Linked DNA regions of Yarrowia lipolytica. The protein of the gene in region 2 purifies or fractionates together with the protein of the main gene of each other region. This does not show direct contact. Links are inferred from orthologs where the notes say so. Each region holds a gene or a part of one and is shown on either strand. Other genes may lie near its edges.

What was found. The genes of interacting proteins can lie anywhere in the genome.
Region 1: the proteins of YALI1_C21682g (region 2) and YALI1_E11587g purify together in Saccharomyces cerevisiae (affinity purification with western blotting; 3 studies listed by BioGRID, with this or other methods). This does not show direct contact. The link is inferred for Yarrowia lipolytica from reciprocal best matches to the Saccharomyces cerevisiae genes PEX1 and PEX14.

What each region holds. Positions count from the first base shown.
Region 1 is NC_090774.1:1,156,802-1,161,051, reverse strand, and holds YALI1_E11587g (uncharacterized protein), read right to left. Parts: upstream 2,348-4,250; coding exon 1,205-2,347; downstream 1-1,204. Other genes in the region: YALI1_E11565g (uncharacterized protein), read right to left, coding at 4,139-4,250. UniProt on the Saccharomyces cerevisiae protein: Component of the PEX13-PEX14 docking complex, a translocon channel that specifically mediates the import of peroxisomal cargo proteins bound to PEX5 or PEX21 receptors.
Region 2 is NC_090772.1:2,165,847-2,172,691, reverse strand, and holds YALI1_C21682g (uncharacterized protein), read right to left. Parts: upstream 4,435-6,845; coding exon 4,339-4,434; intron 4,065-4,338; coding exon 894-4,064; downstream 1-893. Other genes in the region: YALI1_C21722g (uncharacterized protein), read right to left, coding at 1-467; YALI1_C21664g (uncharacterized protein), read left to right, coding at 5,472-6,179, 6,230-6,481; YALI1_C21639g (uncharacterized protein), read right to left, coding at 6,606-6,845. UniProt on the Saccharomyces cerevisiae protein: Component of the PEX1-PEX6 AAA ATPase complex, a protein dislocase complex that mediates the ATP-dependent extraction of the PEX5 receptor from peroxisomal membranes, an essential step for PEX5 recycling.

The DNA.
Region 1 (4,250 bases), on a different chromosome or scaffold from region 2:
GATTAATAACTTGTTCAGGATAGATTGAACAAAGTACAAGTACAGTAGGACGGTATGAGAACCTCGGGTTCACTTGACGACATATGTCATCATCTAATGTATGACTCCCTGAAATCCCTGGTTGTCTCCAGATCCTAGACTCCCTCACTCTCTCAGGTCGTCTCCACGTCCTAGACTCTCTTAACAAAACGTGTTTCTCAGTCGCACCTATCGCATGATGCTGACATGAATAATTTTTCACAAAGGGGAACCACAATGGCCGTGAAGTCCAGTGACAGTATCTTCTTGCATCCAAGTTAGATTGTAACCACTGTCACTCGAGTTTCCATCTCACCGCCGTCGCGCTCTGCCAGGTCCCCTGTGGAAAGCCATCGTACATCTCTCTAGGAGCGGAGTTCCCTCATCATGGCGGTCCAAGGCGCAAGACTGGGGAAATTCCCGAAACGCAAGACAGGTTGTTGGTGATAATTCCAACAGACCTTCAATCGACACTTTTAACGGGCTTTGGCTAACGGTAACCCGTGTGTTTTCCAAACTGGGCCTGTCCAAAACAGTACGGTACATACTACGCAGTACATACTGTACTATACCCAGTTCTGTCTCTGACTACGGAAGTAGAACATTTGGAGTTTGTCAGTAGTAACGTCATGTTATTCAACCAAGCGCCTTTAAGTGAATCCTCTGTCTTCGATCTGAGCCATCTTGCATCACTTCTCTGAGAAGTCCGAACGCGAATTTCTTTCCAGAATCGTGACATGGTCTCTCGACTTGATCTTGCCGCTCAGACTTCGGATTCAGGCTAAACAGGAAGAGCTGCCTAGTTCTATATACTATTCACAGGCGTGGCAATATCGGCACCGACTTGTTCAAATCAGCCCAAAACGGATTTGATGCTCCACGATATCAGTCTAGGTACCAATAATGGTCGTCAGAATGGAGAAATGTCCCGAGCATCTATGTCCCCTAGTAGAGTAGTGCAGAATAGCTAAAAAAAAATTGATCACGTCTTACCACTACAGTAGCATTAAATAAATTCCTCTATATGCCTGCACTAACATAAAGATCCACCTTATACATCCTAGTACACCATGAACACCGTCTGATCCATGGTCCAACCGAACACTCGAAGGTGAGCTACCGTTCACTGTTCGATTTCGGCATTTCATCACGTCATCTCTGCACTATCATCACTGTATCCTAACATTTACTCCTTTTCCTTTTCCTTTTCCTTCTCCAAGGCAGCCAACTGCCAGGCGGGAATGCTAGCCTTGGGGGCGGGCTTCTTCACGGCGCTGTTGCCGGGCTCGGGCACAAAAGGCTCGGGCTCCTGGATGGGGGAGGGGGCGCTGGAAATGGCCGAGTTGGGCACGGTAGAGGTGCTCGAAGAGGACATGGAAGCAGGCTGGGGAATCATAGGCACAGCTCCTGCGGGAGTGGGGATAAAGTCGTCTCGGTCAGCAGGAACGGTGCTGCTTGAAGACACATTGTGCACGGGAGAGCCGGGAGTCACAGGTGCGGGAGCAGCAGCTGGAACGGCAGGAGACGCCTTTCGAGTGAGGTAGGAGGAGGGAGGAGGAATGGGAGGCAGCTTGGGTCCAGAGCTGGCTGCGGTTCGGGTGCTGAGCAGCTGCTTGAGCGACTTGAGCTCGCTCTGAATGTCGGCCAGACCCTGTTCCTGCGAATCCTTGAGCTTGTCAATGTTCTTGGGCAGTCTGTCTCTGATTCGCTCCACCTCGGCGGTCACAAGCTTCATCTCGTCGTCACGCTTCTTGGTCTGCGATTTGAGCTGGTCGATGGTCTCCTCCACGCCCTTGAGCGCGTCTGTGACCCGCTTGGCCACCTCTACCTGGCTGTTCTTGACCTCCTCTGTGTCCTGCTGCACCTGGTCGAGCAGGCCCTGCACACGGGCAAACTCCGCTTCCAGAGCCTCCTTGTCGGCCTCGAGAGACGGAGGGGTGGGGGGCAGGATGAGAGGCATCAGGTATCGCTTTGCCACCGTGTACAGGCCAAATCCAACACCAACAGTGACGGTGGCCATGATGAATACATCCTTCCAATCCCGTTCAGGAAGAGGAGGAGCCGATTGGAATGCATAGGAGGCAGGCACGGTTGGAGCAGCGCCCCCGTGACTCACCACACTTCCAGGATGACTTTGGGCCGAGCCCGATCCAGCCCGCTTGAGAGCCTCCTCAATCTCCTCAGGAGTCATATCCTTGGACTCCAGAAACTCGATCCGCTTGGCGAGCGGGGCAGTGGCTGCCTGAGGATCGTTCAGGAACGCCACCGCACTTTGCACTAGATCTTCTCGAGGTGCCATGTGTTGTGTAGAGAGACAAGAGGGAATCATAAGAGGAGCTGATGTGGGGTGCGTTTTCGGGGTTAGGGTCCAAGATGATAGATGAGACGTGGAATTACTTGGAAAGTGGGTATTTTTGATTTTTGAAACTACCGCAATGTTAAGAAAAATCTGCTGAATTCAAATCAGTTGTCCTTTTCCAAATCCGAGCCCGAAAAGTCGAGATAAGTGCACCTCCCCATTTCCCAGCGCCGGAATCAAAGTTCCCCATTTACCGAGGCTCAAAATCACAACGGAAAAACACATGTGGGGGAAAAAGTAGGGTAACTTGAAAACCAACGGTCCAGCTCAGATGCACTACGAGTGCAGTACTGTACAGTACAGTACCGGTATGAGTAATCACGTGACATTCACGTGACATTCACGTGATAAAACCGGACCTGGAGGAGTCGATATTGGACGTAGCCACCAGTATAGCGTGCTACTTGCCAAATAACGTCCACTATCAAAAAATGAAATAAAAATGAAAATAAAAATGAAAATAAAACTCCTATGCTTACATAAGCGCAGCTCCCCCAATGTATGGCATAAAGTGCTCGTATGGGTTCGAGTGTACCACAAGAATCTGAGGAATAGGAGCTAAGCAGGAACTTCAAAATACGGGTCACATGAACTGAACAAAAGAGGGTCTCAAAAAACCTCCGACTTTTGAATTAAAACATTGCCCTCCACTGTCTCAGTGTACCCACCCTAGGGTCTACTACTTGTAGGATTCAGCTAACTGGGGTAGATAACAAAGTATTATGGGGAAAACATGTCGTCCTTGTTCAGTTTTTTGCCGCGAGTCCACGGGTCAACTCCGTTTGTTAATACATGCATTAACAGCACTTCATTTCTTCACTTTCTAAACTGTTCTCTGATGAATCAGGCGAGACACCCACCCACCAATACCAACGTGGTAATTATCGAATACGGGAGTCTACAGTCACATATACTGCATTGATATATTCCTTGGGGCCTAAAGAATGCAGTGATCAACTCCTCGTATTCGTCAGGTCACCGAGAGAGTTGGTTGGACCCTCTTTCCTCTCGCCGCTGCACATGAAGACAACCTTGACAACTTCTTCAGCGTTGTTCGGACAAAAATAAACACTTGACTAACTGTTGTTGGTATTCCTTCCCCTTGAATTAGTGCGCTTCTGGATGGCGGAGATGGAACGCTGGGGTTTATTTTGGCACTAGTGCTGAAAAATGACCTGAACGACGCTAGCACCTGCATATTTGTGATCATCTCCGTGGAAGTGCTAGACAGTACTTGTGGGCCCACAGAGAGCAGTATTTAGCCCATGGTAGGGTTTCTTCGTGTCCGGTAATGCAAACTAGAGACAAAAAAGGTGCTTTGTGGGCAACCACAAGGCTAGTTTGGACTCATCGCAGGGCTGTACTAATGAGTATCGCGCTTAGAGCACAAGGAGGTTCGGGCAGATCAGATACAATTGTCGGTTTATTATTTAGACTTGCTTAACTACAAGTAGACACTTCAATCCGCCATCATTGTTGGTAAGAATGCCAGAAACCAATATGAGGTTCAACAGGGGGTGAGGTGAAAGAAATGGAGGTAAGGGGTTGAGGTTCAGGGATAAGAAGTTTCAAAGGATAATATAGGACGATAAAGAGAATAAAGAACTCTCCATGATCGCAACTGGCTTGTATTGTTTTATATCTTCGTCTCTTGCTGTCATGGAGAGGTAGAAAAGTGATGCTAGCTTTTGTTACAGAAGAGATACAAACAAGAGAAGTTCACTGCTGTGATTGTCCAACGTTTGCGATTGTAATAAGCCCTCATTTTCGTTCACCAGTGGTCTGCATCAGAAACTTGCCCTGGAATTCATGTTTTCTAAAAAACTCATAACTGTCCACCACAAACGAAGCTCTATCTGCGAGGAGACCGATC
Region 2 (6,845 bases):
AATTCGATATCACCCAGTCGGGCGACAATGCCGTCGCTTTTTCTCCTTCGGATTGATACACTCAAAGATTTGTCCATGCTATCGTATGAGCATTGAGTAATCACGCTTTCTGCTTCAAATCCCTCTCCGGCTTCGCCCGTAAAAACCCACCGCACTACCTTTTCCCAATCCTCGTCAGATTCCTTGTTTCGTCGATACTTATGCTGTTTCAAGAGACCCTTGTTGATTCGCACTGAGAACACATGTTCGCCTTCGGACCCAGTAACCTCGATGTTGAGCTGTGTAAGATCGCCTTTAGACTGGAACACTGCATATCCGTAGCTGATAGATTCCGATGGAATTGTGAATGTGAACATACCGTGTACTGTGATGATGAGATGCAAACCCAGTATAGTACTCGTATTGTAGATTACAACACGAAATACGATCCTATATACAGTAGTCGGAGAGTGAGCCGCATATACCATGAACCCTTACCCAACACTACAGATAATTTTCGACCTGGCACTCTAAAATGCAGAATGTTGCTACATAGATAAGCCGGATGTCGATGATATTTTAACGTGGTGATATAGGAAGCGCTTTTTGAGTCGACAATTGTTCGTGTACTGTACGTAAATGCGAGCCCGAATGTGGTGATTCATGTGTCTTACAACAATACTGTCATGTAATAAGGTTTTATTAAGTGGTCCCAATACCAGAGTATAAGTATAAGTACAAGTACAGTACAAGTGTATGTATGTACATACTGTACAGTACCTACAGTTGTATGTACTTAAAAATTGATGTGTATTGTGTACTGTATGTACTGTACTCAGATGATGACGATTCTCACCGGCAAAACCCATAACATGTTGCGTCAAAGATAATCAAAAACATATCATTAAATTACATCATGCCAAGGTAGCCCGTCCACCAACATCTGTGGAGGCAGTGCCAGGCGGCATATCGCCACTTCGACCACTGACAAACTGGCTATAGATGCCCTTCAGCTTCAGGAGCTCCTTCTTACTGATGGAAGGAGAAGTCTCATCCAAAGACTTATTCATGTGTTGAGGTTTGATTACAACGACTGCCTTCTTCCGGGGCTTATCATCATCGTTATCGACACCCACAGACATGCCCTTAAACAAGGCTTCCAACTTAGCTGTGACACGAGCCTTCTCGGCTACTGCAGCTCGAGCATTCATTACCTCATTTTGGACAGCTGCAGGATCTTTCTTGGCATCTCCAAGGGTCGTCTGGAAAAATTCAAGACGCTTGTCTTCGAGCGCAGGGGTATCAGCTGCTGTGTCATCAGCAACATCCACAACTTCATGAATAGCCTCAAGATAAGCATTGAACATCACAGCCTGCAGATCAGCCCCAGAAAAGCCGTCGGTCCTTGACGCCACGTATTCCAATTCCACTTCCCCATCCAGGTGCATTTTTCCATCCACAATTGCTCGCAGGATATCCAGCCGGTCTTCATAAGAGGGCAGGTCACAGATAAGCATTTTATCCAGTCGACCAGGACGTAACAGTGCGGGGTCGATGAGGTCGGGTCGCGAAGTGGCAGCCAGAACATAAACACCATCGAGTCCCTCAGCACCATCCATCTGCGTAAGCATCTGATTAACCACTCGGTCAGTAACACCAGTGGAATCGTGTCCTCGCTTGGGAGCAATGGAGTCAAACTCATCAAAGAACAAGATGCAAGGTTTTGCAGCCTGAGCTCGCTCAAAGAGCTCTCGAACACTTTGTTCGGATGCACCAATGTACTTGTTCAGAATCTCAGGACCCTTAATAGAAATGAAGTTGAGACCACATTGCGCAGCAACTGCTGAGGCCAAGTAGGTTTTGCCACAACCAGGGTAACCGTAGAGAAGGAGACCAGAACGCAGACGAAGGGGACAAGATGCAAAAATAGGAGCATACTTGGTGGGCCATTCGAGGGTTTCCAAAAGAACTGCCTTGGTTTCTTTCAGACCACCGATGTCATTCCATTTGACGTTGGATTTTTGTAGCTTAACCCCTCGCAGAGATGATGGCACGAAGTCCTCTAGTGCTTTCATGAAGTCCGCGAGTTGGATTGAAGGGTTTTCAAGTCCAATTTCAATCTGTCTGAGAGCCATTTCATGCTGGGCTCGCTCACTCAGAGTCCACAAGTCCCCAGGCAGGTATCCATCGACCTGAGAAGCAATTTCGAGAACATCATTCTGTGAAAAGGAAACATTCTGGTCCATCAGCTTAACCGCCTCTGACAAGATGGCCAGACGAGCCTCCTTATCGGGAGATTTGAGATGGAAAAGCTCTTCAAACACATGGCCAGTCACAAGATTCATATGAAGGGACTCTTTGGCCTGTGCAGAAGCCACAACGGAAACATGGCGAGACTTCATGATGGGCAATGCCAACTCCAAAAATAGCTGCGTCAACTGTCTTGTTCGCGAAGAATCAGCGTGTTCGACTTCGGCAGGCATCAATGCATCAATATCATCCAAGAACAAGACTGAGGGGGAAAACCAGGATGCCTCAAGAAATGCCTTGGTGAGAATCTCTCTCACAGCCTGGACCCTGTCTTGGGCAATGAGACCGCAGGCAATGGAGACCGTGTGAGTGTGTGACACTTTACATTCCTTCTTGATGTGGTTCAGAACAGCACTTTTACCAGAGCCCCTGGATCCGTAAACCAGGCACCCAATAGAGTCACGAGACAGAACCTCGTTAATTTTGTTCAGCATATTGTCCAAGCCAACAACACGCTTGTCCTCAGATTCGATATTTGAAGGGGACAGGGACGATTCTGATCTTAGAATTTCAGAACCAGAAACAAACGGTATGGGCTCCTCGCCGAGGTAGCCTCCTTGGATCCAGCCCTCTGAGTTTTGCAAACCGATGACACCACCCAAAGGAAGCAGCTCGGGAATAGGAGGTAGGCGCTGAAAATTCGTAATAGGCCCTTCAAGCATCTGCAGCTTTTTGAGCTCTTCCAGCAAAGAGAACTGGTCGTCGGCTGAAACACCATCGTCGGCGTTCTTCTCTCCCTTCAATCGGAGTGATTTTTGCTCTGCAGCCCCCACTGTCTTAGTGATGAAACGATGAATCACCAGCGCTCCAGGCTTTTGAGAAAGAGGCTTAGATGCAGATTCAAATCTAATTACGTGGCCCACAGAGCTAGGGATCCCCAGTGCGTCGGCAAGTGCATAACTTAGCTTAGCATGACCAGTGGGAGAAGTAGTATCGTTAACGAGAGTCGCAACGATCTCGGAAGCAGGATTGATGATATCCGGAGGAACCTCAACCTTAGGCTCAGAAGAGGGTGGCTTGTTTTGAGACAAACTCTCCTCTGACTTTTCCTCTACTGCGATAGAGGCTGCTTGCTGAGGGGACGCTAAATTGGGCGGTGTAATGACCTTGATGGAAACATTTTTCAGCTGGTGAAACTCAGGGGGCAGCTGGGAGACATCCAGGGACACCTCCAAACGTAGATGGCCATCGAAGTCTTCACTAATAGCTCGCCTCAGAGCGTGGGGGCCTCGGCCACCTTTTCTCTTCTGAGATCCAGTAGATCTCGCACTTCCGGACCGTTTCTTCACTTGTTTCTCCTCCTTCTTTCGCTGCTTGGGAGCTACCACAACTTCAGAGTCTGGCGATAGCTTGGCGAATCCTGCTGCTCCTAAATCTGGCTCGATTCGAATAACCTTCAGCGTAGCAGACGTGGTGGAGGACGGGTATACCGTGACTGGCTGGTTGGGGGATACAGCTCGAACCTGATTAATCATCCGAGACTCAAGGTATGCAGCATGTAGTTCGACAATTTCCCAGTCAGCCACGGTGACAGGTTCCAAGTGAATGGTGTGTGCGATCTTGGGATTCAGCTGAATGTCAATGACCACCTGAGTATTGGGCAGTAGATCGATGGATTTGGCAAAAACCGGGTCGAGTTCAATCTTGTCTTTTCCAGAATAATCAGACTTGGATGTCATACCAGTCCATCCGACATAGGCAGTCTGTGTGGTTCTGGTTCCGGATACCGACGGTTTAGACTGCCATGACAGTGATAAAATGACATCTTGAATTGACTGCGTTAGTTTTTCCACGAGGCGTTCATTCGTTGGAGACCATTTTGGTTCTCAGATCAGCGACTCGTGTACAGGACCATCCGCTGAGGGCTTCCTCAAGAGTGTATCACTAATGTGATAGGTAGTCACCCAACAATTATGGGATATCTCAGGTCGTAACAGCAACTCTTCTGATCACCACTAAATGGTCTTGCCAAAAGAGACCATAGGATCTAGGATCGCTCTGGCTCTGGCCCAACGGTCTCATGATCTGTCCTTCATAGTTGATACTCACCACTCCACTGTTGAAAATTAGCGAGGAAAGCGATGTCGGAATGTTAACAAGCCCCGACCTTAAAGGCGCGTACCCTACTAGAGCTGAATGTGCCATGGTTCTGGAGGTGCGCGAGATGCTAGGCTTGTGATGAGAAGTGGCACCCCACTTGGGACAGATGTGGGGGAAACGTGAAAAGAACCTTAATTTTCAGAAAGAAATGCCGAGGTAAATTACCGACTATAGAGGGTGGATATTCTGATGAAGTGATAACAAGTACAATCTCAATGAGATTGTTTCTTACCAGATACGCGTAATTCAGAGCGCCTTCCTATAGCGTAACATTCCATTGAAGATCATGGGGCAATATGGAAAAGACCGGGACGACGCTTTCACAATGGACAGTGGAGTTAAACTTTCGGGAATACTTGGGGTCATCTATTTTGCGTTGGCAATTACTCATGATCATGTATCGGTAAGCTACAAGTAATTACTGGTACAAGTAGCTACTGTCCGTACAGTACTCTTACTGTGCTGTACATACGAATGCAGATTCAAGACCATATTGTCAGGTGCTATGGGTCTCCCGAAAAGTATTATCATAACCTGTCTACGATACATGATGCATGCGTGGCCTATGAGTACACCTGTACAGACGGCGAATACCAGTACAATACCGGTACAGTACTGTACTGTACAGTATGTACTCTGTACTTGTAGCATGTTCTACTGATTTATGATCCCAGGCATGCAATACTGTATGTATGTACTGTACTGTACTGTACATACTGTACTTGTCTGGAAATACTTGTAGGCATGTAGGGGTTGGGGGAGGACCCCATTCTGAGTTTTCACTAATAGAATCTGAGAATCTCGTTGTCGGAAGGTGTCCCTTTCAACTGATGTGTGAGCTGTTATCATATTACACAATATAGAATATAATTAGAAGTACCGGTACGAGTACAAGTAAGTAGCTATTGTACCTGTATGTACTGTACATACAGTAACTACTTGTACTACAGTAAGATAGTAAACGGTACGTTCATGATGTACAGTAAGTACGAGTACAGTACACATAGTCTAATCCACAAATCCACAATTAGAAACACTATCCCGCACCCACAGGCAACAGCGACTGAAAGGCACACAACGTGATGCAATTTCTGGTCATAGTGTCATCCGTTCTTGGGTGGACGTATTTTGCACTATGGAGCTTCTCCTTCTATCCTCCGATCTTGCTGAACATCAAATTGAAGTCTGTGGAAGGTATCTCACTCGATTTTCTCTACCTCAACACACTTGGGTACATTTGCTACACGATATCAACAGTGCTCCTCTATTACAATCACACAATTCGGGAGCAATATGCTGCACGTCATTCTGATCCTTCGGGTGTTAAACATTACCCACTCGTCCGTCTCAACGACGTGTGGTTTGGCATTCACGGTTGCTTCCTCACCCTCCTGACACTCAGTCAAGTGTACTTTTGGGGCTTTAGTCGATCACCACTACAGCGGTTGTCCAAATGGGGCCTATCATTGCTAATCTTCGGTATCGGAATATCACTCGGAACGGCGCTTCTTGTGTATCTGTTCGGCAATTCGGACCCCAGCATTGGACTACAATGGTTGGATGTTACATATGTCACAGGATCCGTCAAGGTTCTCATGAGCACCAGTAAATACTTCCCGCAACTTCTATGGAACTTCCGACGTAAGTCCACGAAGGGATGGTCAATTGTTTCCATTTTGTGTGATTTCGGAGGAGGCATTTTATCGTTGGCACAGCTAATCTTGGATGGTTATATCAATCACGATTATGAGGGTATCTTCAAGAATGTGCCAAAGCTTCTATTATCATTGGTAAGTATTGATTTCTACCGAGACCTGCAGAGCTCTCTCAACTAACACAGATCACGTTAATTTTCGACATCATGTTCATGCTACAGCATTACGTCTGGTACAACGACAGTAATTTCCAAGTAAGTCCAGGAGGCATAGAAAGCCAAAACCACCACTACCACAATCAGCATCATCGTCATCATCATCATCATCATCATCATCGCGAGCACAGCAATCACCACCGCCCATCCTCGCAGAGATTGGGCTACGGTTCTGTGAGCGAAGACAGCGAAGAAGAGCCCAGCCGACTGATGCTGGCCTGAATCGGGGGAAACTAACTTAGCTACCAAAGGTGGAGTAGGTACCTCCATAGATTAGAAAGACAATGCGCTTCTCAAGTTGAACTTGCGTGGTGTAAATGGTGTTCGTGTATATTAAGCTATGTTGTCATGCCCTTCGCCTGACGACTGATTTCACTGTGGCACCATCAAGGTGTGATGGCTTGAAATCCCTACTAGAAAGCAGTCCAGCACTCTCATAGATTCTATGATACTCCTGGTCTTGCGGCAACCCCAGGCGAGTCCACATTTCTCGGACATCACTTATGAGTTGTTGGCCACCAGCTGCAGAAAATGTATTCACCATGATAACTTGTCGAGAGAAATACTCAGACAAAACCTTTGAGAA